4 linked regions of the Tamandua tetradactyla genome follow. The protein of the gene in region 4 purifies or fractionates together with the protein of the main gene of each other region. This does not show direct contact. Links are inferred from orthologs where the notes say so. Each region holds a gene or a part of one and is shown on either strand. Other genes may lie near its edges.

What was found.
Region 1: the proteins of GPN3 (region 4) and POLR2M purify together in Homo sapiens (affinity purification with mass spectrometry; 3 studies listed by BioGRID and IntAct, counting the BioPlex papers as one, with this or other methods). This does not show direct contact. The link is inferred for Tamandua tetradactyla from reciprocal best matches to the Homo sapiens genes GPN3 and POLR2M.
Region 2: the proteins of GPN3 (region 4) and POLR3D purify together in Homo sapiens (affinity purification with mass spectrometry; 3 studies listed by BioGRID and IntAct, counting the BioPlex papers as one, with this or other methods). This does not show direct contact. The link is inferred for Tamandua tetradactyla from reciprocal best matches to the Homo sapiens genes GPN3 and POLR3D.
Region 3: the proteins of GPN3 (region 4) and POLR3B purify together in Homo sapiens (affinity purification with mass spectrometry; 3 studies listed by BioGRID and IntAct, counting the BioPlex papers as one, with this or other methods). This does not show direct contact. The link is inferred for Tamandua tetradactyla from reciprocal best matches to the Homo sapiens genes GPN3 and POLR3B.

Annotation. Positions count from the first base shown.
Region 1 is NC_135340.1:73,288,466-73,296,856, reverse strand, and holds the start of POLR2M (protein GRINL1A), read right to left. Parts: upstream 3,387-8,391; 5' UTR 3,253-3,386; coding exon 3,140-3,252; intron 2,802-3,139; exon of another isoform or gene 2,514-2,801; coding exon of another isoform or gene 2,422-2,513; intron 1,276-2,421; coding exon 628-1,275; intron 1-627.
Region 2 is NC_135329.1:22,877,333-22,885,218, reverse strand, and holds the start of POLR3D (DNA-directed RNA polymerase III subunit RPC4), read right to left. Parts: upstream 3,222-7,886; 5' UTR 3,095-3,221; intron 2,835-3,094; 5' UTR 2,830-2,834; coding exon 2,665-2,829; intron 1,760-2,664; coding exon 1,716-1,759; intron 1,122-1,715; coding exon 970-1,121; intron 809-969; coding exon 684-808; intron 338-683; coding exon 169-337; intron 1-168. UniProt on the Homo sapiens protein: DNA-dependent RNA polymerase catalyzes the transcription of DNA into RNA using the four ribonucleoside triphosphates as substrates.
Region 3 is NC_135333.1:22,886,153-22,893,751, reverse strand, and holds the start of POLR3B (DNA-directed RNA polymerase III subunit RPC2), read right to left. Parts: upstream 3,301-7,599; 5' UTR 3,079-3,300; coding exon 3,007-3,078; intron 2,825-3,006; exon of another isoform or gene 2,623-2,824; intron 1,803-2,622; exon of another isoform or gene 1,068-1,802; intron 1-1,067. UniProt on the Homo sapiens protein: Catalytic core component of RNA polymerase III (Pol III), a DNA-dependent RNA polymerase which synthesizes small non-coding RNAs using the four ribonucleoside triphosphates as substrates.
Region 4 is NC_135331.1:11,200,116-11,207,789, forward strand, and holds the start of GPN3 (GPN-loop GTPase 3), read right to left. Parts: upstream 3,274-7,674; 5' UTR 2,738-3,273; coding exon 2,690-2,737; intron 1-2,689. Other genes in the region: protein FAM216A, read left to right, coding at 3,511-3,602, 5,190-5,230. UniProt on the Homo sapiens protein: Small GTPase required for proper localization of RNA polymerase II (RNAPII). May act at an RNAP assembly step prior to nuclear import.

The sequences.
Region 1 (8,391 bases), on a different chromosome or scaffold from region 4:
TTTATTCTATACAATGGGTTCAGATTTGCATTTTACAGTATCACTTTGGCCATAATTATAGAGGGACGAGAGCCTTCACTTTGACAGAGAGGATGAAGACAATGATTAAGGAGAGATTAAGGTCACAGTCTTCATGACTATCAAACATGGGAATAAGGTAAGGAAGACACTTTGGGAGGAAAAAACCAAGGAGGTGGTAAAACCACTAACTTAGGAAACATGAGCATTCAAGCATTTTTGGCTGAGAATATCTTTATCAGCTCCTGCAACTACTTTTCCTTTAGCTTAGTTTAAGGGGAAGCTGTTTTTGTGTACTAAAAAATGGTTCTAGAAAAAAAGTCACAGTAAACTCTCCAACTCTAATTATGTTTTATTATGAAAAATTGGCTACATATCAAGAAATTTAACACTCCTCCGTTACTTAAAACCTTTTTAATTACTTGGCTATAAAATACTAAATACTACTTTTCAACATGAATTGTCCATTCCAGTCATGTTGCTCTATTTCCAAAACACATTCATTCCTAACTACAAGTAGTTTTCACACAAAGCCCAAATTCCCTCCTTAAAAAAAAAAATTCTAACAAATATTGTTCCTATGCTAGATCTATTTCCAATGGTACTTACATATTTGTTTTAAATTTATGTAGTGGGGGCACTGGATTTTTGGCTCGCATTTCTAGCACTTCCACGTAATGGGGCTTCTTCTGAGTCCTGCTATGAAGATCTGTCAAGTTAGTAGTGCTTGTGTTTTCTTCAGAGCCGTGTTCACCTTGGTCTGTAATTGTGATCTTCTGTAATCTATCAATAAACAGGCTGTCAGAGCTGCTGGAAATATCTTCTGCTTGACCTGAAACACAACGCTGAGGAAGATGCTCACTAGCTATAGATGAGAAAGTTGCACCGATTCTGACGCTCGACCCTGGGCTCTCGTTCACTGTGCACTTTGCCTCTGTGGTCTCTTCATCGCTTTTGTTAGTGAGATCTGCAATTCCCTGTTTTTGTGAGGTTGTTTTAGATGACTTGATGTTATCCACAGAGGAACAGTTAGGAATTAGTGATGAAGTATCAAGTATCTGATCAGAATTCTGGGTCTTATCTGTGTCCACATCAACTGCTACAACCACAGTTTGCCTTGGTTTACAGCCTAATCTAACGGGATGAAACAGTTCGCTTTTTCCTCTAAATTCTTCACGTTCGGCAAGGGCTGCTTTCAGTCTGGCAGCACAGTCTAAGATCTTTTTACCTTTGTCGGGCAATTTGCAAATGAATTTTCTGTCAAATGGAAAAGAACAAGTATACATCACTGGCATGTTTTTAACCCCAAGATGGGAATTTAAAAAACAGAGCATTATCCTCAAAAGGAGAAAAACTGGCTTTTAAACAAAAAATTTGATTTCCAACTGCCCCACACAAGAATGAAACAAATTAAGACATTACCCAAATACTCTGCTGGAAGAATAGAGAATAATTTTTGTCTCATCTAGCTAGAACTGCAGAAAAGTAATTTAAGTATACAATAACAACACAAAGCATTCCCATATTGTAACAGTTTTTAAAATGTGGTCCCCAAGGCCATCTTGTCTGCAAGGTCAAAACTATTTTCATAAAAATACTAAGACAGGAGTGCAAGGGCAGTTCAGTGATAGAATTCTCACCTGCCATGCAGGAGACCTGGGTTCAATTCCCGGTCCATGCACTTTCCAAAAAACAAACAAACAAAAATTCAACAAATGGTGCTACAATAACAGGATACTCACATGGAAAAATAATGAAATGTGATCCCACCACAGAGCATACAAAAAAAAATACTAAGACATTTTTTTACTATTTCACTCCCATGCTCGCATATGGGTAGGGCTTCCCAAAGGTTTTGTGATGTGATGACTAGTGGAACGTATGCTTGTATATTTTTGTGTTTTAAAGATTTCTCTGTTGTAATTCCTAATAAACATAAATACTGATAGATATAAGAGATATAAGAGCTCTTCGGGATTGTCAATTATGTTTAAGAGGAAAAAGTTAAGAGAATTATACATTAAAAAGTCCACTCTCACAAAATCAAAACACCTATCTATTAGGAAGGTGCCAAATGATTATTTTTTCCTTTTTGCTGAGTGGAGTCTTTTTTCCATTTCCCTTTCTCTTTAGCTATATAATACACGGGAAGGAAAAGTTACATCTCAGGCCCTCTTTTCTTTCTCCACATTCATTCCCAGTTTCAACTATTAACACTTCTCTGCAGTTGAGACTCCCCTATTTTTCCAGTCTCCTCTCTAGAGCCCCACGACCACTTCTCCAGCTTTTAACTAGACATAATTAACTCAATGTCTGTTCAGCCCTTCCCTCAACTCATTCTAAGCAAATTCAACCTGGACCTTTTCTCCTCCCCCAATTTTCCTAGTTTTGGCAATGGTTTACCTGGAAACTTCCAGCATGGACGCTGGAAACAACATATTCAAATTATCCCATGCTTGATGTAATTTTCTCCATCTCATGGCCACCGTTCTCATTCGCTTTCTTAAGAAATCCCCTTGTTGGGAACCTATCTGAAAATATCCTCCTATTGCCTTAAACCTTTTATTCCTTCAAACCATCCTCCACTTAGCTGCTAAATGAAGTTTCCTTAAAAAAAAAATTACTTATTATATTACTACCCTGGTTGAGTGAGAGTTCAAACTTTCTCGGCTTAATAAACCATTCTTCATATCCCACTTCTCCCACTTCCTAGAGTTCGTGAAAGAAAGATTTTGAGATGAAATTCACAAGATATTGAGCCTTTACTGTACTGGGCACCAGTTGTGGGGAGAGGGGGGACACAGAAAGAGTTTATAGCACAGACCTTTCCTTCAAGGATTCGCCACAACACCTGGATAAAGAAAACCAACAAGGTGGTAATGAACAGCTCAAACGATAAAACACAAGTCCAGTACCCTACTCATCCGGCAGTGTGACTAGTGCGTGACTGGCCGTAATGCGGTGCAGTTTTGCGGCTGCAGACTGTCCCCTCGCCTGTGGGGCAGAAATGAATCTGAGACAAGGTCACCTTCCCGGGAAGGGAACCCCGGGGTGGGGAGGAGCTTCCCAGGGAGCCGGGACCAAAAGAGCCTGGCAGTGACCCGGCAGGACCCAAGCTTACTCGTTGCGCAAAAGTCTCTCCTGGCGCTTCAACATCTCCCGCAGCTCCGCCAAACTCCGCTGCCCCAAGTCCTCGAGAGCCTGGGGCTCGAAGCCGCGGGGCAGCGAGGACATTCTGCTGGGGCTGAGGCTGGCGAGGCGGCGGGCAGTCGGCTTCCTCACCAGACCTCGCCGCTAGCGCCAGACCCGCAGCCGGCGGCGACTCCGGGGCACGAGCGGGAGACGCCATCTTCCCGGAAGAACGAGTCTCCTTCGAGCCGAATCGAGCTTTATTGAAACGCCGGAAACAAACACAGACAAGGAGAAGGGGGCGCCGGGAGGAGCGGAAAGAGGCGGAAGTTGCGAGTGACGTCAGCGCCTCGGCCGAGTTCCCTTTTCGCGCCGTTTGCTGGCTTGTCTTTTCGTCGCCTATTCATTTGTTTACATCTAAAGTATTTATTGAGTGCCACCGTTTTTCATGTTTATGCAAAAAATTTATGGAATGCAACTGTGACCTCACCAAACGCTATATATTAGTGGGCACATAGCCACGGCCACTATTTTCATTTCGATGTGGCGAATGGCAGCAAGTACTAACAGAGAGCAAGACAATTTAATAGTAAATTCGAGATGGACATCAGGGGAAGTATCTCTAAGAAGTAAAATTTGGAACCTGAAAGTTGAGTTAGCCATTGATGGGGTTGGGTTTTCAAGGGCCTGGTCTATGATGTGGATCCTCTTAGCTCAAAGCTTAGTGAAGTTGTAGCATTGGGAAGTTATTTAGAGACCATCATCCCTTCTTAATAGGGCTCTGTGCGTTGGGGACCGAACATTCTTTATTTGTGGCAATGTCCCAGGCATTGCAGGATATTTGGTATCCCTAGCTTCTGGGCACTAGTTGTCATGGCACTCCCAATTCTTTGAACTAATCCAAAGCGCCGCCAAAAACCTTAGCAAAGGCCGCTAAGAGTGGTGATGGGGTGCAAGGGGAGGGGGTTGCGAGACTGTACAAAGCAATTCCCTTTTTTGCCAATATAAAAACAGAGACAACAATTATGGTAACTATTTCTAAGGCACAATACCAGGGACAGCACCGGAATTCAAACACAAATGCCCAATTGCTCTTTCTACCACACCAACTGGAGAATCCCCTTCTTCACTTTAGGCCTATTTCCAAGTGTATAACATCGGTGAAAAAAATTTTTCCCCAATTGTTGAAAAGATGGCAAGTGTAATAAGCCTCACACCCTGCTCTCACCTTTCCTTATAGTTTAGCTATCAGAGCTGTCTCCCAAAAGAAAGGGTAAGAAGTATGCAAGAGTCACAGCAGATTGTCTAAACTACACCTCCACACATAGACCTCATTTTTGATATGGAAAATTGAGGTTTCTTCAAACCCCCGTAAGGTGTTATATAAACCCAACCTCCAGCAACTCCTTTTCAATCAGACAAAAGCTCTAGCTGAATTTTGGAGTTATTCAAAGAATCACATTTTCAGCCATTTTGTATCTCCCCAGTTTAGTTCATTCTGATCAGATTAAATAGTGTACCAAAATAAATTTTCTTAGTATAATCCTTGCTTTCAAGAACTTCAGAAACCTGTTCTGGTCCTAGCATGATAAGAAATACTTGATCAGGAGGTTGTCCCCAGGCAAGTTCCCCCAAGATCTCCTCATCCTTCCCCTAGGTTCAAGCTGACCCTTTATTCCCCCATAGCAGTGAATCCCCATCCACTGATCCTTGGTCCCCAGGGTCCATAAAGCAAAGATGCCTTTCTTTCAAGCCTCAGAACTTTACCCTTTGCTGTTTCCCTCTTGTGGAAGGCTGTCCCTTTTCTCTTTGCCAATTACAAATCTTGCCTAAAGCTTCATCTCCTCCCTGACTCTTGGATTATTCCAAACCAACTTGCTCTTTCTTTTAACACAATTATAGTGCTTAAATCCAGAACCTCACTGAACAGCTTATTATGCCTCTCTAATAATTGTGCTATACCTGGTAAGATATCTCCCCTTCCTAACTAAGTTGTAAAGTCCTTTCTGTTGGGGAACTATGCTAGGACTTTTTTGTCTCCCTTAACTCATATAGCAGGTATTAATTGGTGGAATCTCCTTCTCTCATCATTTTTCTCTCTCCTTTCTCCCTGATATTCCTCTTTCTCTTAATAAAATGTCCCTTTAGTGTATGTAAGAATATAAGGATTAACTATAATTACTATAAATATTTTCAGTGGTATGGGATAGAATCTCTTACATAACAAGATGTCATAATACAAATCTGAATTCCTAACTGTTCTAGTTTGCTAGCTGCCAGAAAGTAATATACCAGAAACGGAATGACTTTTAAAAAGGGGAATTTAATAAGTTGCTAGTTTACAGTTCTAAGGCCAAGAAAATGTCCCAATTAAAGCAAGTCTATAGAAATGTCCAGTCTAAGGCATCCAGGGAAAGATACCTTGATTCAAGAAGTGTGATGAAGTTCAGGGTTTCTCTCTCAAGTGGAAGAGCACATGGCGAACATGGCATCATCTGCTAGCTTTCTCTCCTAGGTTCCTGTTTCATGAAGCTCCCCGGGAGGCATTTTCCTTCTTCATCTCCAAAGGCCGCTGGCTGGTGGGCTCCCTGCTTCTTGTGTCGTTCTGCTCTCTCCGAACCTCCCTGCTTTCTCTCTTGTCGTTCTGCTTTATAGGATTCCAGTAAACTAATAAAGACCCCCCCAAATGGAAGAGACAGGTCTCCACCTAATCCAGTTTAACAACCACTCTTGATTGAGTCACAGCTCCAGGGAGATGATCTAACTACATATTCAAACATACAGTAATGAATAGGGATTAGAAGAAATGGCTGCCTTTACAGAATGGAATTAGGATTAAAACATGGCTTTTCTAGTGTACATACATCCTTTCAAACCAGCACACTAACAATACCCATGTACAAACCATCTAATTCTCTTGGATTGATGTTTCGTGTTAGGAAAACATCATCCTGAAACAAAAGCATTTGGACTTCAAAATGAAAATAGGCAAAGTATTCTTTTATAATACATCAAACAAAAACAATGAAAACTAAATATTTAGATTACAGACTTTAACATTAGTGTCTGGGAAAAAGAATACAAAATGGGAAAATTTAACAATGGAGAAATGAACAAAGAGAGGGACAAGTGCCATGGTTTTTACCTGTTTCCAGGCAAACATTTGAGAGGAAATGGTGCCCACATACCACAGACAACTAATCTCTGCTAAAGAATTCCAACTGCATATCACAATAATTTTGATAAAGAGCCCATCTGTTATAAAATGGAATCTGGATGGGGGTTTTGATTTTCATTTGTTTTTGTTTTTTAATGCTCTTTTTAAAAAAAATCCAAGTCACCTTCCCAGTGGAACTTAATCTCTTGAGTGTTAATTGCTTTCACAGTAACGAATAAAACTGGGTGTATTAGAAAGGAAGAAAAACAATTAAAATGAAGAAAAAGAAAGGAAGGGAAAAGCTCATTAGTTGTGCGAAGGGCTACCAGGATCACTTAGCCATCCTCTTGCCACCAAATGGCACAAGCACTTTGTTCGAACATGATAAAAACTCCCCCGGTAATGGTTTGCATTTGTCCTTACAGAGTTAAAGATAAAAAAAAGAGCCAATCGTGAAATTGATAAAAGTTCTCCAGAATCTTCAGCTGCTCTTCTCTGTCTCCTCCCATTGGTTGTTAGTTTGGAGCACAAGTGGCCTTAAAACTGGCCACAGCACACGTGGTGTTGAGCAAAATGGCAGCAAGACTATCTCCCATCCCACATGTTCTTCTTATATTTAACTTTAAAACTCCTCTTGTCAAGAAATGCGGTCCATCTCTCCTACCCTTGAATCTGGATGCACTTGTAACAATAGCAAAAGTGATTTTCTAGGCTATGTGATAAAAGGCAATTCAGCTTCAAGTGGGCCACAGTGGCTCAGCAGGCAGAGTTCTTGCTTGCCATGCCAGAGACCTGGGTTCGATTCCCCGTGCCTGCCCATGCAAAAAACAAGCAAAACAAACAAACAAACAAAAAACGCAATTCAGCTTCTGCCTATTGCTCTTGGAATCCAGCTACGGATTGTGAAGGAGGCTGAGTTTGGGTAGGTGTTTTGGCTGCCAGCCCCATTTGAGGTTCTAAGCCACAGACAGCGTCCACTACTAGGCATGTGGGAGAGCTAGCCTTTAGGTGATTCCATTTTGGAAAACAGTTTGCTGCTTTCTTCAAAAATTAAATATACATCTACCATATAACCTAACCATTCTTCTGCTAGGTATTTGCACAAGAGAAATGAATGCCTATGTTTGTACAAAGACTTGTATTTATATTCGTAGCACCTTTATTTGTAATAGCCCCAAAGTGGAAACAGCCCAAATGTCTAGCAACAGGTGGATAGATACACAGTTTGTGGTATAGCCATAAAATTGAATACTATGGTACGTACAACAAAATCAGTGAATCTCAAAATAATTATACTAAGTGAAAGGAACCCCCCCCCAAAAAAGTGCACACGGTATGGTTTCATTTGTATAAAATTCTAAAAAGTTCAACCTAATCTATAATGACAGAAAGTAAATCACCAATTGCCTGAAGCTGTGGGGTGGCACAGAGTGGCTGGAGGGAGGTTATCAAAGAGCAGGATTAAATTTGGGGGAGTGTTGGATATGTTCATTATCTTTATTGTGGTGATGGTTATATGGGTGTTCTCACTTGATAAGTGAAATTATTACATTGTGCATCCGAAGTGTGTACGTATCCCCCGGATGTCCAAAAGGCTTCTCAGAATCAGTGTGTCCAAACTGAACTGATTTATATTTCCCTTCCCCACTCAACTCTTCAATGGTACCCAAGCCAGAAACTAGGCATTCATACCTGGCTATTCCTTTTCCCTCACCTGTCCCTAGCCCCTGGCCCCACACATACAGCTGGGCACCAAATCCTACAACCTAAATACTATTGAAATCTAAACACTTTCTTCTATCTACACTCTCCCTCCTGTCACCCGTTTGAACACCCCCTACCCCCATATACCCTTCACCCAAACCCTTGATTGAAACTTGCAATAGATCTCCTTACTTGTAGTCAAATCAGCCCTTTTTCTCTAAACTGCTGTCAGACAGCTTTAAAAGAAAATCTAATTTTCCTTCCTTCATTTGCATTATGAACATGGTAAACTTTATGGTTAGGTTACTTGTTTTATTTCTGTTGTAGCTGCCAGATTACTGCCTTCTTGCCTAAAGGTCTAGGTATTCTGGCTTGGGCATTTA
Region 2 (7,886 bases), on a different chromosome or scaffold from region 4:
GCACTTAAAGCCTCAGAGAATGAGAATTTAGCATTTTATTTCAGGTTATACATTTTATAACTGGGATGGAAGAGGACCTACTTATTAATAACAGTTTGTTAGGTTCTATACAGACTTCTGAGGGGTGGCCAAAGAAAAGGCAATGAGAAGTTAACTGACACAGAATACCTTTCATAACAGGGACATCCACTTCCATGTCCTCTTCCTTGGGACCAGCCAGCAAAGGTTTAACATCTGGTTCTTCATTCTCTTCCTTAAAAAGCCACCCTGAGTGAGCCAGAGGCAACTGCACAGGCATGTTTCGAGTGTCATTCCTCAGCCCAGGGTCATCGATGAACTGCCAAAGAGTCAGAGAGGTCACAAAGAGCTAGACCAGTAGTTATACTGGAATCCACTCGAGTTCTTTTCTAATCAGAGTCCTGCTGCTCAACAGGACATCAAAAAGCTCATCTTCTGAATATGCAACTATGTGATGATATTGTGAATTACTGATTATATATGTAGAACAGAATGATCATATGTTAAGAATGTTTGTTTCTTATCATACTTCAAAAAAAATTTTTTTTAATTAATAAAAAAATTAACAACAACAACAATGCTCATCTTCTTCTAACTCTTGCTCCCCAAAAGTTCTTTTCCACAGCCACACAGAAGCCCTTTCTCCCCAGTTCCCTGGTACCTACGTCATCCTTTTCCAGCATGCGCAGGATTTGTTTTGTTTCTTCATCCGTCTCCCTCTTCTCTTTTTTGATGTTGATGATATGAGAAGGCCCCATGTCTGACACATCCACTGTTTTATCCCAATTCCCTGTGGGAAATCACCCAATTCACCAAGGATAAAGAAGATGCCAGCAACAAGGAAAACTAACTGGAAGCAAGGAAATAACATTGTCTTTGTCCTTCTCTTAAGCATTCTGAACTGAAATCCTCCATCCATTCCTTCCTCCCAGAGCCCCAACAGTCTTATACCTTTTTTCTTCATCATTTCAGCTGGGCCCTGCTCAAAGATGGAGTGGGACTGGATCACTTCTGGACGACCCCGGCCCCGTCCATGCCCTTCTCGCTGTCGGTCTCTATCTCTTTCACGCTTCTCCTTTTTGACAGTTACTTCTTCCTTTGGCCTGGAAAAGGGAGTGGATTAAAAGAAACCACTCACTCACCCTGCCTCAGAGAACTGGCCTAACTCTCTCATACCATTCCACTCTAACTGAGCAGCGCGTTTATAAGCCAACAACTTCATTATAAGGTGGAGAACCCAATCCTCAGTCTCAGTTTTTCACTTGCTCAATAGGGCAGGGTCCTGTTTTCTTTACTTTAATTTTTGTTAACAGTATATATCAGAATCATAACTCAAAACCTGAACTATAGAAGCTACCCCCAAATGTAGATTTTTTTGCACTGACTGAAAACAGGAAGGTTATAATGGTAAGGAACTTAAGGGATAACTTGATACATCTTTGTCTAAACTGGTGGTTCTTATCTCTGGCTATATATGAGAATCACTCCATTCCACTGCTAACAAGTTAAATCACGATTTTTAGGGATAGAGTCTTATGCATCATTTTTTTAAAGGCTTGTACATAAGAATCACCTGGGAGCCAGGGTTGAAACTCCTAAGTTTAAGTTCTTGAGCCACATATCTAGTTGTATCCCAGAATCCCCAAATTCAGAGAATGTAAATCAGGGGTAGTTATTCAGAAAGCCTAGCTACTTACTCTTCCTTAATCTTCCGACTGATGATGTTTGGGGTGAAGGTTTTCTGAAAGTAAAATACAGGAGTCACTGATTTGATAAGTTCTGACCCCAAAGTACAGACGAAAAGAAAAATTACCAAAGGGCATCTTTTAAGGACCAAGATCACCATGGTTCTCTTACACATATTGGAAACTGTTGTCAGGGATTTAGAGATGGGAACATACCCGAAAAGAAGGAACATCAGCAGTGGATTTACCTAGATAAATGGGATAAGTGGTATTCCAGTGGATGACTGGATACCAAAGTCATTTTTAACTAGAAGCCTCAGCTTGTGTCCCCTAAAAGGAGTGCCTCCTGGGCTTCTAAAAGCGAAGAAACTTATCTAGTCTCACCTCTTGTCTTCAAACAGCTTTAGAGACCAGTCAGTTTCATAGGAAAACAGCTCTAGCAGCAAGGTTCAAGATAGTTAGAATTCTACCACCAGAATTCTCCAAGACAAAATTAAGTCCTTCACAACAGGCTATTTTATGCTTCTGTCATTTTTTTCCCTCTTCAGGGCTACATTTAATTTACATCAATAAGCACTAACATAATGGCCAAGGATACAAAGCATCTAATGTCATGTTTGATTCATTATGCTTGCTTTTCATGGGCTTCTCAAAGGTGTCCGAAATATACAGTAAAAGAAACACGCTCAAATTGCCTCTGAACGTCTTGGACTAATGAGGATCCTCTGCCCTCCAGCCACTCTGGGAATTCTCTCAACACCTTGTTCCAAACAACTAGACTTGAAGGTACAACAGGCTTCCCAGCACTGAAAGACGAATAAGCAGAAGTCTAGGCACAAGATTCTTACGGGGTCCACACGAGCCCTGGCACACAGTAGGCCCTATATGAATACTATTTGAATCTCAGGGGGCTTGTATTCAAGATAGTTGAGTTTCTCTGCAAAAAGGTGATGTCGGGTACCTTCTTGACTCCCCCGAGGGTGAGGTCCCTGGAACGGATGGAGGGAAGACGGCCCGGGGTAAGGGGGGGCGCCGGCCGCCTCCCGATAAGCCCCCGGGCCCCAGAGAGAAGAGGTCGGGGACCTCCCGGGGTGCTGGGCTCGCCCGCGGCGTTTCCTTCCGACATGTTGCCTGGGAGAGAAGGGGGAAAAGGGGGGAAAGGAGCAACGAGGTCACTCGACGGGTTGGACACGCGAACCGTGGGCGGAACCCCACCCACGTGGCTCCCGCCCCCCAGTCAGTGCGTCCCTGCGGACGCGCATCAGCTCCTCCCCCTCCCACGTGGCGAGACTCCCTGGACCACCCGGCTCAAGGCTTTGGCTCTCGATCTTAGCCTGTCGCGACTCGCCGTCTCCCTAGGGGGTCTGGCCAGGCCTGAGTCAGGGACGCACCCTAGAGCACCCGAACTGCGACTCCACACCACGCGCGTCACTTCACCTCCGCCGCCGCCCGTAGCGGGCCCTCAGTTTCCACGCTGGGCGGAAGTCTGCGTGGCAGCGCCCGGGCGCCGCCATCTTGCCGCGGGGCGGAAGTGAGGTTCGGTGGGCGGGGCCGGGCCACAGTATTTATCAAGCGGCGCCTCGCGCAGCTCTGCCTTCTCTTCCCGGTTCTTCCCGGAGTCGGGAAAAGCTGGGTTGAGAGGGCGAAAAAGGATGAGGGGTTGGGTCTAGGTTCCGCCACGGTGCAGCGCTCGGGGGTCCGGCCTGGGGCGGGGAGTGGAGGCGCCGAGCTCAGGGTCTGGGGCGCTGCTCAGGGTCTGGGGCGCTGGCGGTCGCCAGAGCACAATGTGGGAATCAGCCGCCTCGGAGCAGTTGGGGTCGCGCTTCGGGGTGGGGCGAGGGGCGCGGGGCAGAGAGCGAGACCTGGACTCGAAGTCGGGGGAACCCAGGCCAGAACCCAGGCCCGCGCCGGGCCGTAGCAGTCTCCATTGCGGCCGCGGGCTCTGGATGGTGACCTTGGAGTGGTCACTGCACCTCTAGGCAGTGGCCTCGCCCTCGCTCCGACGACCCTTCTCTGAACTCCTGGTAGGGTCGTGGGGTGGGGCTGTGCGAGGTTGGCGAAGCAGCTGCCGCGGGCAAGCCAGGTGCCCAGTAGCACCCAGGCTGGGCTTAGGGCTGCGTGCGCCTGTGCTTGCATGGAACCTGAAAGTTTGCTCTGCAGGAGGGGCGAATGTAAAGAACTTTTACTGTGACTCTAGCGCTTGTGGTTTAACGTAAAAATAAATAATGTGCTCCCTCACACACACACCGTATAAAAAACCATGTAACAACGTTACAGAAAGTTTGGGGAAAGGAAAACATTTCTATTAGAATTCCACCTAGAATACTGCTATCAAAATGTGTGTAATATATTTCACGCTTCCGTCATATTGTCCCACAATTCTGTATCCTCCTTTTTCAAATAACATTTCTTTGTTGTTGTATCCAAATGATTTAGATATTCTCCGTGGAGTGGATATATCATTATGTCCGATTTCCCTATTATTTGAACATTCGATTGTTTCACTCTTTGTTGTAAATAATGCTTCTTTGAACATTGGGTGCATTCAACATTCTTCTTTGGAATTGTTTCCTTAGCACAAATCTCCAGACCTGGGATTAGTGGCCTAAAGAGTACTTGCAGTTTTTTAGAAGTCATCTTTTTATTTTGAGATAATGGTAGACGCATGTAGTCTTAAGAAATAGTGCTGAGAGATCCCAAGTATTGCTTACTTAGTTTGCCTCAATAGTAGCGTCTTATAAAACAATAGTGCAATATCACACTCAGAATATTGACGCTGATATAGTCTAGACACAAAACATTTCCATCACCGCAAGTATCTCTTGTTTCGCCCTTTCATAGCCACATCCATTTCACCACCATCCCCCTCCCTGGTAACTATTAATCTGCTCTCCATTTCTATAATTTGGTTATTTCAAGAATATTATGTAACTATTCTATATAACTTCTTAAAATTGCTTTTTCCACTCAACAAAATTCCCTGGAGATTTTCCAATTTGTTGCATGCAACAGTAGTTCCTTATTATTTATTGCTGAGTATCCATAGTATGGCTGTATCAGTTTCTTTCATCATTCACCCTTTGAAGGATATCTGGCTATAGCAAATAAAACTGCTGTGAACAGGTCGTTGCCAGTTTGGGGCGTTAGAAATAAAGCTGCTGTGTATGGGTTTTTGTGTAAACATAACGTTTTTCATTTCTCTGGGATAAATGCCTAAGAGTATAATTAATGGGTCATATGGTAGTTGCATGCTCAATTTTATAAAAAACTGCCAAACTGTTTTCCACAGTGGCTATACTATTATGAACATGAGCATTTTGTGGTTCTTCATCCATGTTATAAATTTCTTTCAAAATGTTTGTGCATCACCACTAAAAAATGTGCGTATACATATACATAATTTACCACATCATTTTGAGTTAAAATTTTTAAACTTCATTTTTACCAATTTAACAATATATTAATATTATATTACTATTTTGTTATGTTGGTTTCTATCCAGATTTTTTCAATATCTTTTCTCCATATTAGTTGTATGATAACCAAACCAAACGAAAACCCTTCCTGTTCCCTACAGAGCTACACATAACAGCCCTCGGTTTCCTTTTTAAAAAAATTTATTATATTTTATTTATTTATTTATTTGTTTGTTTGTTTGTTTTAGCCCTGAGTCTCTGACTGGAGTACCAGATGAAATTGCTCCAGTTTGTTTCTCTGGACTTTGAGGTTCACCAAGCTTTTAGCAGCTCTTAAATTTTTGTTTTGTTTTGTTTTTACAAAGATGCTTATTCACTGATCAGTTACAGGTTTATGATATGAGAATAAACCAGTTGCTGGTAAGAAGCACAATTTATCTGATTGTGAGGCTTCAAATAAAATGTGTTTGAGTCCCTAAGAAGCAAACACTGTGTGGTCCTGTGAACTGTATTCCCAACAACATTTCAAGAACTCTGAGTCTTGTTTCATTTTTTATTGTATTATCCCTTAATGTCAGCTGATGGAGTAAAATAAAAGTATAGTTCAACCTGAAAAAAAAAAAAAGATGCTTATTCATTGTAGGAAATTCTGAAAATTTTAAAAGGCAGAGAATTAAAATCTGCTAATGTTATACCATCACCTGTTTTGTATACTTGAAGCTGTTTTTCCTATGCATGTATTTTTTTAGGTTGAGTTATTTCATATATGGTTCTATAATTTGCCTTCACCATTCTGCTTTCTTTCTTTACTTAATCCCAGAGCTCTCTGTTTTCTCTGAAGTGTTCATTCTTTTATCTAGCCTCAAGCTTGTAAATTATTAGCCACAGAAGCCTATGTAACATATGAGTCTAGCAGATATTTTTATTATCAACATTTTATTGCATTTTATTTACATATATCTTATAGGAAAAGACAATAACCATTCTTTTCTGATAGATAATGAAACTAGTAGTCGAACTCTTGGGAACATTTCATAATTTTCTGGGTCTAAATACAGGTTTTAGAAGGTCTAAACAGTTTCTGTCAAAAGCCAATTCCTGTGAATTCGTGATGGGCATTGAAAATACTAAATGAATAAGCAACTGCTTTGAATATGTATTAGTAGAATAAAGGGAATATATAGTAGGAGAGCAGTACCTAAGATTGGGCTATTACATGTTCTCGACATGAAATTTACCCTAATTTGATTCATTTTGGAGGCCATTCCTTCTCATTCTCCTTTCTTGGTTCCTCAACTCTTCAGCCTCTTAATATGGGAAAATTTTAGGATTCAGTTCTTGGAACTCCTCCCTTATTTTCCTGGCTTCAAACCGTGTACGTTTACAAATAGCTCTTAAATATGTATCTCCAGCCTAGAACTCTCTGAACTCCAGAGGTATATCTCTGCCTATTTCAGCCTTAACTAAGATATTTGCTAGGGTTCTTAAATTTATGTTTAAGTTCAAACTTTTGATCTTCCTCCTCAAACTTCCCAAAGTTTTTGCATCTTAGGAAAATGGCCACACCATCCTTCTGGTTGTTCAGGTTAAAAAAAAAAAATTCCTCTTTTTTTAACTCCTCTATTTCTCTCAGGCCTAACATTTTTTTATGGCAGCTCTACCTTCCAAATATATCCAGAATCTTACTACGTCTCACCCTTCAGTGACACACTACCCTGCTCGAGGCCACCATCACATCTTTTGTTGAGATTATTACAGTAGCTTCCAACTGGCCTCCCTGCTTCCACCTGGGCCCTCGGTCTAGTCTCAATAGAGCATAAGTAATATATTTCACAGCAGATCATGTCTCAACTTCCCAGTGGCCTCCCATTTCAGAGTGAACACCAGGGCTTTCTGCAAAGCCCTGCATAAGGTGCCCCTCCATCTGTCATCTCCCTGGCCACCATTCCTGCCACACTCCCCTCACTGACTGCTCCTGCCACGCTGGCCTCCTTGCTGTTTCTGGAAGAGATCAGGCGTGTTCCTCCTCCAGGGCTTCTGCACCTGCTACCTGGAATGCTCTAGAGCCCACCACATACTTCTGCACAGCTCACTTTCTCCCTTCATCCAGGTCTATTACTCCAAAGTCACTTTTGACATTTTGTCTTCAAAGTTGTAACTCCCACTCCCCCATGACATCACCTGTCTTATTTACTGACCGACTTTTCTCCATAGCATTTATTACCACCTGATAAATACAGACTTTTAAAATTCATTAACTCTGGTAGTAACTAGATGTACAAAGTTAAAAATGTTTTTTTTGCATGAGGAAGAACAAAGGAATGTCAGTGTTGCAGGGTGTTGAAAGTAGATGGTAGTTCGTATTTTAAAACTTTAACTTATGTGTGAGACAAAAGGAAAAAGTGTTTATTTTGTCCAAAATTTATATTTTGACTAGTGCATCTCCTAATATAACTTATGTGGACAGTTTAATTGAACACCATAAGTACATGGAACCTTAAATAGGGCCTGAGATTATATAGGCTTGTCCAGAGGAATGCCCTGATAAATCCCAGAGTGATGCCCCAATAAATCCCAGAGTGATTTGAACAGTGAATAAAAAAATATTTGCCAAGTCCCCTTGGGGGAATGGGGAGAAACGGGGAAAATTCAACTTCCCCATCTGGAGAACTCCCGATATTCTCGCAAGCAGTGGGAATAACCAAATCAATAGGCTGAGCCCTCAATCTTGGGGTTTGTTCCTATGAAACTTATCCCTGCAAAGGAA
Region 3 (7,599 bases), on a different chromosome or scaffold from region 4:
CAACTGGGTCAAAAACTCCTCATTAGTTCCTCAACTTCCTCTCCCATACCTTCAGATTTCTCTCCTTATACCTATCCTCTTACCTTATTTTCTCCAGCATCAAAGGAAGAAAGTGTCCATTCCCCAGTCTAAGGCTAACACTTCTACCTGGACTCTCAAACCCACCTTTCCAATCTTTTCCAGGACTAAAACCTCGCCCTATTAACAGTCCTTCCCTTCCCTCGATGTTCAAACTCTCCTGGATACTGGCTTCATCCTTTCACCCTGAAACAGCTCAAAACTTTCTCTTTTCTTCTCCTGCTCTTCAGCTTACTAACTTCCCAACAAGTAGTCAGAGAGGACCTTCTCTGTTCCTCATTTTTCTTTCCTTCTTCTACCAATTACAGTCAAGATTCTGACCCATCTACTAACGAAACTGCTCTAGCAAATGTCACCAATGTTTCCAATATTCCAATTCCAATTCCAAAGAGCTCCCCTCAGCCTTTCCACAGCAGTCGGCCATGTTGACCACTCCCTTCTTGTAACGCTCCTGTGACAACATTCTCTTCTAATGCCTTTCCTACCTCTGAGAATGCCTTCTTGGTCTTCCTTTCCTCTGCCTACTCTGCAAATGTTGGTATCCTCAAAGTTCTATCCCTGGACACTTCTTTTCTCACTCCCAAGTGTGCTGGGTGTGAAGGATTTGAAAGACCACTTGTTTAACATCCCCATTTCAAGATCTCCCACCTCCCTCCCCAGTTACAAATGTAAGCACTTTCAAGGACAGTGACCCTGACTACCTTATTTACCACAGTGCCAGGAGCATAAAAGATCTGCAATAGATAATGAATGAATAAATGAATAAGTGAGTAAATATCACAGCTACAGTGACCCACAAGGTATGAATATGTCTCCTCCAACTGTTTACCAGGCAGCAACACCTTAAGGGCTCAGGAACTACTCAAACTCAATACACCCAAAATTAGATCCCCCAACTTACCCCTTCCTTTCAGCCTGCCCTATTCCCAATCTCAGCGAACAACATCATTTATACAGTCATTACCAATTAAAACCCCAGGGAGTCCTACCTCTCAGATGCTTCTTGATCAGTTGGAGAACAAGTTCCACTGTGTCCACCTCCTTTTAAATTTCCTCACATTCATCCTCTGCTACTGCAGCTGAGGCCCTCATAGTCTTTTACCTGGACTTCTGTGATATTTTCTTTTAAGTCTACTTTAAAGTTGCCATTTTCCCTCCATTCCATGACCAACACTCAAGCTAGAGTGATCTTTTCCATGTTCACAGCTGATCCTGTCATTCATCACCTTACCATTCTCCATTGCCTCCACACCATCCTCATGAAGTCTAAACTCTACAGCATAACGTCCTCTGTGGTCTCACCCCTGGATACTTCTCCAGCCTCACATCTTTCTCCCAAACCACATGAAACTACATGATGGGCTTTTTAATACTTTCAGGCTTTTGCTCATGGCGTCCCTTTTATTCAGAATGCCTCTCCCACCACAACACTTCATCCCCATCTGTTAAGACTCAGTTCGAGCATCACATTTTACCCATCAGTTGCAGTTGTAACAAAGACTTTCCCTTCTATCACAGAATCCACTATATGTTATTCCACATGTGTACATGTCTCCCCCTTTAACCCATAAACTCCTGGAAGACAGGGAGGGAGATTTTGAATTTGTACAATCCCTGGGAATGGTATGCTGCCTGGCCCACAGTAATCCCTCAATAAAATCTGTTCAATAAACAAGTGATTACATGACTCCAAAGCTGTGTTATTTCTCCTACCATGTTGCTATGATAGCATACAGAGTACAGAAAAATATATTAGGTATGGTTAACAGGCAAAATAGCACCTATGTAGGAAAACTTACAGAGAAAGCACTGAAGTAAATAAACATATCAATTTCCCAACTGAAAGGAAAAGTTATTTTCATTTGTTATTAAAGAAATTCTCTTATAAAGTACCGTCCCGATTCTTGTTAGTTCAACACTAAAATTATAGCTTTACTTCATAAAGCAAAAAATGCAGACAACACCCAGCAATAAAAAATGAGTAAAATGGCATTCTCTGAGTCCCTTAAAACCATTCTAGATACCATTGCTTTGGAAAAGGCAATAAAGTTACTCATCACATTCATTCAATCTAATTCATTCATTCATTCAATAAAAACATTTTACAGGTCAAGAACGGAGGACACACAACAAATAAGACAAACATATTCTAGTGGAAAGAAAAACTAAATGTTAGTCTCCAGAATGGAGAAGACACTATCGTAGCAAGTACTAAGGGGATCTAACATCTGGAAGAATCAAGGAAGGCCTCTGGAGGGAGTCATATGATAGATATCTAGGATTTAATCTACAAAGTGCAATGGTGGAAAAAGCGGCTGGAAAAGTAAGCAGCGGACAGACTGAGGAAAGCCTTGTAATCCTTCATAAAGACTTTAAATTTTGCTCTAAGATCAATGGGTAGAAATTGAAGAAGTTAAACCAAGGGAGAGACGTGACCATATTTGTGTGTTTAAACTGATGACTCTGGCTACAGAGCAGAAGACAGATTGGAGTGGGACAAGTCAAGATAGAAAGTAAAAGATTCAGACGATTTGGCTTTCGCACCACAGCTAGAGGACCTCATGAAAGTGGACTAAGCTCCCTGGGTCCTACTGTTTTTCTCGATATGTCTGAAAACGAAGAAGCAATAGGACCCCACAGGGTGGATACGAGAGCTAATCTTCTCGGACACAAACGAACAGGAGCTTGGAAGGGGTCCAACCCGAGCGCCATCGGAGGGCCTCTCGGCTTCCGTAACCACTGACAGCTCTCTGGGCTCACCCCTTCCACACGCTAGCGGCGGCCAACCAAGGAAAAGTATAAGCACGCGCAATGCTTTGAGCATGCGCGATGCCACCCGCCCGCCTCCCGTCCATAGCGAGAACTCTCCGGGCAACGCCTCCTTGAGCGTGTCCCGGGCCCTTCTGCAACCGCGTGCCGGGCGCTCACCTCTACGGTCGGGATCGGAGCCACCAGCTGCTCTGGGGTTAGGTTACCGAACTCTTCCCCTAGGACGTCCATGCTGCTAACGGCGAAAGAAATTCAGCCAGAACCTTCCAGCCCGCCTTCGCTGCACCAAATAAACTGCAGCACGCTTGGAGAACGGTGCGCGGAGGCCTAAACCGTCCCCGCTTGGACTGCTAGTCGGAGGTGCGACAGAAAGGTTCCGCCTGCATGTTGCCCGAACCTGCGGTGGAACCGGATGTGATTGCGGCGGAGCCGGAGAACTGCCCCCTCTGGTGTTGCTGGGAAGTCTAGGCCGGGTAGTCCTAACCCCCGGCCGTCGTGGGTTCTTTCCGTATTAGAGGTCAACAAAACATATTGGTTGTGTTTTTTAAAATAACTTCAGGGAAAGTGTAAACAGATGATTTGCGCAACTTGAGCCACCGAAGCAAATAATGCATTTAATTTATTCCAGGAGTAGTCACATTGTATAGTATGGGAAAATCGGACATTTCCCGACATCAACCGGGGGATTGGTTAAATGAATTAGAGTACGCGCGTGTCATGGGAGTGAGGAGGAGTTCACCACACTGGAGAGTAGAGCGTAACACGACAGTCATTAAGGCAGCGTTATGTACCAGACAGAAGACCCAGAAATAAATACATGTACAGGGCGAAATTTTGTATGAAAAGATGGTATTTTAATTCCGTAGGGGAAAAGATGACTTATTCAATAAATGACGGTGAACAGCTGATTAGTATTTTAAAAAATGTGCTTCTCGATAAATCTTGTACGGGTTAAATACTTAAATGTTAAAAAACCTCAGAAGAAAATGTTAAGTGAATATATTCATAACCTAGAGGTGATGAAAAGTCTTTAAAGGATGGCAACACAATCAAAAGGCACAAAGTAAAAATACTGGTAGATTTGATAATATTAAATAATTCTAAACGTTGTTTTATGATTCCATGAAAAATGAAATTTTTCCATATAGAATTTACAAAATTACCATAAATAGAGTTTTTTAAAAGTACTGGCTGGCGAGTCCCTTCCTTGGGCACGCCCACATTAACCTCTCTAACGTGTACTCTCTTTTTAATAAACTTCTCTTTTAATAAACTTTACTACTTATGCCTAAAAAAAAAAGTACTGGTTGGCAGAAGGCAATGTGTTGGTAGTGGTAATTGACAAGTGCATGCGAATCAACAGGAAAAAAAAACAACAGAAAAATCTAGGCAAAAGATATCAACAAGCAAAACATCATAAATATAAAAATATGTATAACTTCAGAATTAAAATGGAAACTAAATTCTTTTTTACCCATCGAATTGGTATGGATAAGATTTATAATATTAAATGTGGCCCAGAGTATGGACAAACAGGCACTCTCTTACTTTGTTGGTGAGAGAGCACATTGGTACAATATTTGTCATTTCTAGAGGGTAAAAATACATATATTTCCACTGACTCAGCAATTTAGTTGTTTAGATATTTAGTCCAAGGAGATTACTGAAAAGATACACAAATGTGGACAAACAAGGTGAACAGATTGCTCACTGAAGCATTATTTATAAAAACAAAATATTAGAAACAACCTAAATGTCCTCTGATGAATAATTGTAATTATGGGACCCCTAATTATATATTTGTAATTTGATGGATAAGCATCTATCAAATAATTATGGAAATATCTGTGTTTAATTTAGAAAGATGGCATCATCTACTGATAAGTGGGGATGGAAAAGAACAATGTGCTACATGAATAATATCCCAATTATATGTTACATGTATTTATAATGGGTAGAGTTATGAGAAAGGACTTTTAACTGGTTATCTCTGGAGGATGTGATTTACTGTTCTTCATTCTTTCCAGTAATGTTTAAATGTTTTACAATAAGCATGTGTAATTTTTATGATTGAAATAGTTTCTCTTTGGAGCTAAAAATCAGAAACATTGACATTTAAAAGAAAAAATGTAACATTTTAATACATGGAAAAGTTCTCAGTATAACGATAAGTGAGAAAAAGATGAATTAAAAATTGTAGATACACATGGTAAACTCAATTTGGTAATTTTTGATAGTTTGGATGTTCAACGCATATTTATTGATTTGTACTAAGACTCTGTATTAGTTAGGGTTCTCTAGAGAAACAGAATCAACAGGGAACACTCGCAAATGTAAAATTTATGAAAGTGTCTCACGTGACCGTGGGAACGCAGAGTCCAAAATCCACAGAGTAGGCTGTGAAGCCGACAATTCCTATGGAGGGTCTGGACAAACCTCACAGGAGAGGCTCACCAGCCGAAACAGGAAGAGCCTGTCTCTTCTGAATCTTCCTTATAATGCTTTCAGTGATTAGATTAAGCATCACTCATTGCAGAAGACATGCCCCTTTGGCTGATTACAAATGGAATCAGCTGTGGATGCAGCTGACATGATCATGATTTAATTCTGTGAAATGGCCTCATCACAACAGACAAGCCAGCACTTGCCCAACCACCACTTGGCCAAGTTGACAGATGAACCTGACCATGACAGACTCTTTGGTATGCAAGTATGTAAAAATATTAATTTGGTTATCTGCTACTGGTGAGACCAGAGATGATTTTATTCCTTTATTATTTTGTTTATTTTATTTATTTTTTTATTGTATAGTATAACATATATATAAAACAAATAAAAAAGCAATAGTTTTCAAAGCACTCGTCAACAAGTAGTTACCGGACAGATCCCAGAGTGTTTCATATGCTACCATACCATCCTCTCCAATTTTTACTTCTAGCTGCTCCAGAATATAGGAGGCAAGAAGACTTAAAAAAAATTTTTGTCACCATAATCGACTTTTCTTATTTTCTGTGAAAAATAATATATATACAAAACAGCAATAATTTCAAAGCACAGCATCACAATTAGTTGTAGAAAATATTTCAGAATTTGACATGGGTTACAAGTCCAAATTTTAGGTTTTTACTTTTAACTGCTCTAAGATACTGGAGACTAAAAGAGATCAATTTAGTGATTCAGTCATCATATTCATTTTGTTAAATCCTATCTTCTCTGTGTAACTCCACCATCACCTTCAATCTTTCTATCCCGTTCTTTAGGGGTGTTTGGGCTATAGCCATTCTAACATTTTCATGTCGGAAGGGTCTGTCACTAATACAGAGTAGGGAGATGGAACTATCTGATGTTCAGGAGAGGCTGAGCCATCTAGGTTTCATGACTTACCTGGTCCAGAGACTCATCTGGAAGTTGTAGGTTTCTGGAAAGTTACTCTAATGCCTGGAACCCTTGTGGAATCTTATATACTGCTCTAGGTGTTTTTTAGGATTGGCTGGAATGGTCCTTGTTGGGGTTTGGCAGGTTATGATAGGTAGCAATGTCTAACTGAAGCTTGCGTAAGAACAACCTCCAGAGTAGCCTCTTGATTCTATGTGAATTCTCTGCCGCTGATACTTTATTAGTTACTGTGCCGATTTGAAAGGATGTATGTATCCTAGAAAAGCCATGTTTTAATCCTAATCCTATTTTGTAAAGGCAGCCATTTCTTTTAATCCCTATTCAGCACTATGTATGCCTGAAACTTTAATTAGATCATCTCCCTGTAGATGTGACTCAATCAAGAGTGGTTATTGAACTGGATTAGGTGGAGAAGTGTCTTCACCCATTCCGGCTGGGTCTTGATTAGTTTACTGGAATACTATAAAAGAGGAAATCTTAGGGAGAAAGCCAGGAGATTCTGAGAGACCAGAGAATGGCATAGCCATGGGAAGTAGAGTCCACCAGTCGGTGATCTTTGGAAATGAAGAAGGAAAATGCCTCCTGGGGGAGTTTCATGAAAGGAAGCCAGGAGAGAAAGCTAGCAGATGACGCCATGTTCACCATGTGCCTTTCCAGATGAGAGAGAAAAACCCTGACCATGTTCCCATCTGCCTTCTCACTTGACAGAGAAACCCTGAACTTCGTCACCCTTCTTGAACCAAGGTATCTTCCTGGATGCCTTAGATTGGACATTTCTATAGACTGGTTTAATTGGTACATTCTCTCAGCCTTAGAACTGTAAACTAGCAACTTATTAAATTCCCCCTTTTAAAGCCATTCCATTTCTGGTATATTGAATTCCAGCAGCTAGCAAACTAGAACACTCACCTTGACTCTTGTCTGTCCCCACATTATTTACCTCTGCTGTTGCTGTGGTAGTGCTGATGTTTTCCTTTTAAACATAGCCCATAGCATGCAATAGTAGTTTTCCCCCTGTACCCTGGACTTAAACACTCTTTGTACATGAATCATACCTTTGAAGAAGTTCTTGAAAGAACTAATTTATATTTCTAGTGTTACTCAATAGGACTCATAGGTCTGTACAACCTCTTCCAATCTTGTTCATCTTCAATATGGTAATATTGCTTATAGACCCACTAGAGACCCACCTTCACTTCTACCTATTCCCTTACATTGGAGTTCAACCTCATTAACTAACTGCTTACCCATCTCCAGCTTCTGTGCATCTCTAAGTCCCCTATATTCTGTATTATAAGCCTCTGATTTTACCTATATCCATGGTCATAAAAGTGGAATCATACAATATCTATCGTC
Region 4 (7,674 bases):
AGATGGGAATGTGCTTGCCGATCTGGGGGAAGGTTATCCAATAAGGGAACATTGAGATCAATACATAGTCTTGAGGTGGGCCATCAGTTTGCAACTTCTGGTTTAGAGAATCTTTAGCCCTCATGTAGTCATTACACTTTGTTAAAGTTGCCATGTTACTTCGCTGTCTACCTCACTATTAAGAGAAAGGGATGTGTCTTACTCAGTTTTATAAACTAAGGGACTATCACAGCATCTGGTACATAATTATTTGATCACTGTGCAGGTTTGAAGCTATTATGTACCCCAGAAAAAACATCTCTTTTAATCCTCATTTAATATTGCTGGGGGGACCTTTCTGATTGTTTCCATGGAGATATGACCCGCCCAATTGTGGGTGGTAACTTTTTGATTAGATGGTTTCCATGGAGATGCGTCTCCAACCATTCAAGGTGGGATTGCTTGCTGGAGCCCTTTAAGAGGGAACCACTATGGAAAGAGCTGAGAGAGCGCACACAGCCAGACATCTTTGGAGATGCAGAAGAACACCCTCAGGGAATCCTTATAAAATGAGAAGCCAGGAGAGAAGGCTAGCAGATGTCACCATGTTCCTTTCCAGCTGACAGAGGTGTTCTGGACCCAATCAGCCTTTCTTCAATGAAAGTATCCGTTCTAGTTTGCTAGCTGCCGGAATGTGATATACCAGAAATGGAACAGCTTTTAAAAGGGGGAATTAAATAAGTTGCAAGTTTACAGTTCTAAAGCTGCAAAAATGTCCAAATTAAAGCAAGGCTATAGAAATGTCCAATCTAAGGCATCCAGGGAAAGATACCTTAGTTCAAGAAGGCTGATGACGTTCAGGGTTTCTCTCTCAACTGGAAAGCCACATGGGAAACATGGTGATGTCGGCTAGCTTTCTCTCCAAGCTTCTTGTTTCATCAAACTTCCCCAGGGGCATTTTCCTTCTTCATCTCCACAGGTCTCTGGGTGTGTGGGCTCTCCTGGTTCTCATGGCTCTGTTCTTTACTCTCTCCAAAATATTTCCTCTTTTAAAGGTTTCCAGTAAACTAATCAAGACCCACCTGGAATGGATGGAATCACATCTCTCTCTAATAAAAAGTTAATACCCATAATTGGGTAACCCACACCTCTGTGGATATAATCTAATCAGGTTTCCAAACTATAGTACTGAACAGAGATTAAAAGCAACGGCTGCGGGCAGGCCACAGTGGCTCAGCAGGTAAGAGCGCTCTCCTGCCATGCCTGAGGACCTGGGTTCGATTCCCGGTGCCTACCCATCTAAAAAAAAAAAAAAGCAACGGCTGCCATCACGGGATGGATCAGGATTAAAACATGGCTTTCCTAGGATACATAATCCTTTCAAACTAGCACAGTATTTTTCCCTGGATGCTTTATTTTGGACATTTTCACGGCCTTAGAACTCTAAACTTGCAACTTAAATTATCTTTTTAAAAAGCCACTCCGTTTCTAGTACACTGCATACTGGCAGCTTAAAAACTAAAACAACCATTATTTTTAATTGACTGACTTAATTAAAAAATACGTTTGAATATAAGGTCCTCAAGGGCAGGTATATTTTGTATATATGTTTTGTTCCCCATGAAATCCCCAGGGTCTAGAACAATGCTTGGCACAAAGAACATGCCCAATGAGTATTTATGACAGTAAGCATCAAAAACTTGCTGTATGAAGGAATGAAGGATAGTACTGATCACAATCAGTCCAAAAATTAATCTGGAATATATGGTGGAATAGTAGCCCATGACAAACTCTGGGATCTATTCTGTAACTACTTGTTGAAGTGTGCTTTGAAAATTATTGCTTTTTTTCTTTCTTTGCTTTGTATATATAAAAATAAAAAAAAGTTTTATTTTTTACAATAAAATTTTTTTTAATTAATCTGTAATACAGAAATAATTTCTTTCATGCTTTCTCCTCAATGCCTTTATACATACTGTTACCTTTGCCCTTTCTATGCATCAGAGTGTATTTTAAATAACTAGTCACCTATGGGTCTTTCAAAATAGACTGCAGGCTCTGGGTAGACGCGAGACATATCTTAGTCACATGTATATTCCTTGTACCCACAATAGGACAATGGGTCAGAATCATATGCTTGTTAAATTAAAAACTGAAGCCATAAAACACCTCCACAGATTCTAGTGTTTCCCAAACTTCTGTTACTTGAGCTCTAGCATCACCTGTCTGCCATATTTGAGTGCCCCTAATATTAATATTTTCTTTACAAGAAAAAGTTTTATCTGTTGTAAATAGTAAGCTAATTATATTTTATCAAAACTTGAAGGTAACTGTAACATTAAATGCAACTTTAAAGTGCTTTTAATTCTAGCCAAATACAGCTGCCTGTCAAAGGCTGTGAGTCTAAATCTTGCTCTCTGAAGATTATAGAAATGTTCGAAATAACAGCACCTACCTCGTAAGGTTGCCGTGGGAAATAAACGAGTCATTTAGAGCAGTACTTCGGGCTGAGAGATCCAATAAATATTAGCAATTACTATGACTCCCTTTTCAAAACTAAACAATAAGGCACTGAAGTCCAGAAACAGAAGCTAGGTGCTCAGAATCTCAGGTTCCCCAATATACACCCGCCGCCCCCTCCCTCAGGACCCGAACACCCCACTACCCAGGAACCTCCGACTTTTCTCCCCTCCTCGCTCAAAATTCTCACCTTCCCGCTGCCTGCGGGGCCCATGACGAGCTGAGCATACCGAGGCATTTCAGGGCTCCAGGCTCCCAGGGACGCCGGCCACACAGAACTAAGATTCTGACCTATATGCTCCCTCCAGCCTTCGCGCGACGCCAGCTGAATTCCGGGAACACCACAAACCCGACCAATCACAATTCAAGTCCCTTGGGCGTTTACGGTTCTGCCACACCTCTCACTACGGAGAGTCCCGAGTGCCGAACTTCTTGTGAAGCGCTTCTTGAGGGAATCTCTGAGGGGCGGGGCCGCGGCGCTGGCGCTGGCGCGTGCGCACAAATAAGTGCCGAAATTCGGCGGTTTGGAGCCTGGTGACGGCTGGTTGCCTAAGTGATATAATGGATAACGCAAAACGCTCAGCTTAGCTGCGCCGGGCTGTGGTCCTTGGTTTGCGCACTGCTGTTTGGCCTATATACTGACACCCAATATTTGCGAATTTGCTGAGAGTCTGGAATACTGAGGCGGAGGGCACCTCCTATTTTAGGGAGCACGTGTGTTTCCTTTCTTGTGACGCATCCCTTCCACGAAAAATACAAACGAAAACGTGCAAACGCGCAATCAACTAAAGCCCTCCCGCCACCCCCCAGTTTAGCTCCAGGATTGTGGGTCTGCCCTCTTGGCGCTCCCGAAGCTACTCGGGCTGTGTCCGGGCCGCCTCGGAGGGGGTCTAGAAACCCGCGTCCGCCTCTTCGCCCCAGTACCTCCGCCGCCTGACGCACGCGTGCTGACGGGGAGAGGAGAGGGGAGAGCCGCTCCTCACACCGCTCGTGCCGGGGCTCCGGGAGGAGATGCCGGGCCAGGGTCCCGCGTCCGACTGGACCGAGTGCGGCTCCTCTGCACAGTCGCCCGCGGTGGCCGGGACCGAGGGTGGCGAAGGCGGGTAGGCTTGGGGTCCTGCGGGGCTGGGGGACGGCGGCCAGCCCGCGTCGCGACCCCCTGTCTAGTAGTGGGTGGGAGCTGGCTGCTCCGCGGAGGAACTGGGCCCCGGTGTACTGAAGTGAGCGGAGGGGAAACGTTTGTTGTGGTCGGGATGGGAAATATGGAGGCGCTCACGGTTTAGGGGAAGGGCTTCGGGGGAGGGTTTGGTGTACTGACTAAACGCGGGACTGCGACAGTCGCCTGCCTAGGTGCATCTTTCTGCCTCGAGGAGGCGCTGCGAAGCCCGTTGGAAACCTTGCCGTCTGGCCCCATCAGTATCTGCAGGCGAGGCCAGCGGGGAACCGGGTAGGGAGAAAACGTGCCCGGCTCTACGGAGGGGTTCCATGTCGATAAATCAGTTTCTTGTGTGTGGCATGGGCCACCATTCCTACAAATGGGGGCTCATAATCGCCGGTGAGCCTGATGGCAGTATTAGCATTTAGAGGCACCTTGCTCGTGAGATATTTTCTTCGCTCAGAAGTCTCCTTTTTAAATCCATTTCATTTTTAGCTGTTTTTGAACAATTATTTCCTGAATGGTGAAGACAAATAGCTACTGAAGTCACTGCTGCCGGCCTCTGCTCTAAAATACCTCCTCGTCTGCTCTCCCCATTATTCCCTAAAAGCGAGAGTTGTGGGGTATTCGCTGTCAGATGCAGCCCATAGTCATGGCATCATTGCTGTCTTTTTTTTTTTCTTTTCCTTTTTCCTGTTTCACCCTTAAAAAAAAACATTTTAATATTGTAGTTATTCATGTATATAACACAGTCTGCCATTTTAACCATTTTTAAGCGTACAATTCAGTGGCACTAATCATATTCACAATGGTGTGCAATCATCACTATCTGTCTCCAAAATTTTTTCAGCACCCCAAACAGAAGCACTGTACCCAATAAGCAAAAACTCTTCATTTCCCCTTCTTCCCATCTCCTGGTATGGTACCCTACCATCTTTTTTATATCTGGAGGTGGACGACTTCTTAAAGCTGGATGTGTTTCTTTTTTGTTCTTCACAGTGTTTAGCAAAGTGCTGGATCCTAGTGTATCAGGAGATCAATAAATTTTTGGTGAATGAATAAACTGTGGGAAGAGGGAAGAAGGGGTATTTCTGTTTCAACTTAATTTGAGAAAAGAAAAAAGAACTTGTATCAGTTCCAGCACTTAATTACGTAAAGACTAAGCATTTTCAATGCCCAAATTACTTTATTAAAGGGAAAGAGAGCAAGAAAATGTCTCATGGTTAGCACAGAAGCCTAAACCACTTTATCGAACTCATTGTACAAATTAGATTATAGGCTATAAAAGTAAAAACAAATCTGGTTTAAAGTAAATTCTTTGTAATATGGTTAAAAAAATCATATATCACACACTTTTCAAAAAAGCCTGGAGCTGTTAGGATTTAACAAGAATTACAAAAGAATATTTGTAAGACATTATGTTTGATGGAAACAGGAAAAGTGACAAGCATCTGCAATACTGTCCCTTTTGTCATTTTAAGTACTTTCTTTAAAGCTGTTAATTATTGTATATTTGCATTCTTTTTTAAAACAGATCAGCTGGACATTCTTTTTATCAGAATTCCAAAGGTACTGGTGAGTACTGCATACAGAATAGATACCTATAAATAACATGTTCAGAGAAGCCAGTTTACCTAATTACTTACACAATGGCGTCTTAAAAATAGATTATTTGCAGAATTGGTGAATTTAGGTCTTTTAAGATGTTTTGGAAGAACGCAGGAGGTTCTTTCCCTCCTGTTAATGTATCTCACATCAAGCATTTTTAAAAAGGTATTTGAAGATTAGCACTGAACCGAAAAAGAACTGTGTTTATACTTGAGGTTGGTTTAAAAGCACAGGGCACAGTCAGGGGTTTATACACAGATTAAAGGGAAAAATTCTGAATTTAAACAGCTTTAAAGCACATACAGTACTTCTCAATGTTATTTTCTTCTTACTTGAAGTAAAGGTTGGTGTTTTCAAAGTACTCACTTCTCTGCTGCAGTTAAGAGATTAAGATAGGCTACCAAAGTCCTCTCCCTAATTGCTTTTTTTGGGGGGTGGGATAGAAGTGGAATTTACTGACCTTAAGTATATATAAAAGTACAGTAGTTATAGTTTCCTACTTCACAGTCTTGCTGAATTAAAGTTAAAAATAGATAAAATACACAAAAATTAATACATTCTTTTGATGTGGAAGGAAATAGTTTGTCTATAGAAGAAATTTTAACAATTATTAGTTTATGAGGTAGACTTACTCAATTATATAAAAGCAAAAGCTCTAAACAAATATTCAAAATAAAAATGAAAAGGACCATGTAGGACCATGTTCATATAAAAACAACATACATATACGTCTAGAAGAAGCCATGAAAAACAATGTATCAAAGTGTTTTTAAATAGTTACTACAGAATGGTGAGATTAAAGGATTTTTATTATATTTTTTAGAACCAGTATACTTCACAAATCTACAACTGAAGTGTATTACTGTTTAATCAGGTGGATGGACGGGTGAAGGCCAGTACTCAACAAGTGCTTTATTTGTGTTCCTCTGTATTTGGACTTAAGGTCTCATCCTATTACAAATACTACAGTCAACTCCTGACAGGGGATCTAGATATTATTTGAAACTGATTTACCATCGCTAAAATTTGGCAGACTTCAAGACAATGAGCTAAACCCATTTTTAAACCCATTTTAAAGTAACAACTTAACTATCTACCCTGACAATAAACTACATTTCTGTAATAATGTAGGACAGTTTATCAAAATTAGCAACTTTAAAACATTTAAAATATTTTGACTTATACATTTACAGAAAAGTTGAGAAAATGGTACATAGAATTTCAAGATCCCTTTTATCTTTTCCCTCTGATTCTCCCGAATATTCACTATTATATATGTACATAAATGTTTATTCTGAAATGCTCAAGAGTAACTTGCAGACATGATGGATGCCCCTTTATTACTAAATATTAGAAATTGTATGTCTTTTTTTTAAAGGGATTATCTTACCTACATTTATGTATCTCACAAAATAATTATCAAAATCAGGAAATTTGAATGATGCTATTATCTAATCTACAGATTTAATTCAGATTTTGACTGTTGTTCCAATAATTCCTTGATAAGAAAAAAAAATCCAAGACGAAGCATGGCTTTCAGTTGTCAGGTTTCTTAGTTTCCTCAGTCTGGCATAGTTCCTGAGTCTTTCTCTGACAGTTTTGGAGAGGACAAGCCACTTCTTTTGTAGCATTTCCCTCAGTTGGGATTTGTGTGATGTTTTCACTTGGTGAGATTCAGATTATGCATTTTTAACAGGAATACCACAGAAATTAGGATGAGTTTGTCTTGGTTCATCCTATCAGGAGGGACATGCTGTCAATTAGTCCCATTATTGACAATGTTAATCTTGATAATTTGGTTCAGGCGATGTTTGCCAGGTTTCAGCACTGTAAAGTAACTATTTTACTGTTTGTAAAAGTATCTTGTGGGAATATACTTGTAACATAAATATATCCTGTAATTCCTCAAACCTTCCTTCATTAGTTTTGTCATCCATTTATGGCTCTTGACTGAATCAGTTATTATGATGGCTAGAAAATGGGGATTTTCTAATTCTATCACTCATTTTACAATTGGCAGTTGGTTTTTTATTATAAGGAAGAGCTTTCCTTTCATTGCCATTTACTTCTTCATACCTATATTTATTTATATATCAGTGTGGACTCATGGATTCTTACTTTTAGTTAATAGGTTACTATCCTTTACTATTATTATTTATTTTGATGTTCAAATCATAGATTTGGCCAGTAAGAGCCCTTTTAAGATGATTAATGTGCCCTTGCAATTTGTCCCACTTACTCTTTGAGCATTTTCTTACTTTTTGGCACGAAATATTGTAGATTTATCTTGTACTTTCTTTGCCTCAGCTATAGAGTCGGCTATTTCTTCAACAAGCCTGTGGTAGGCAAGGATCGTCCCACAAAGATGTCCACACTCTGATCCCCGCAAATATGTTACATGGCAAAAGAGA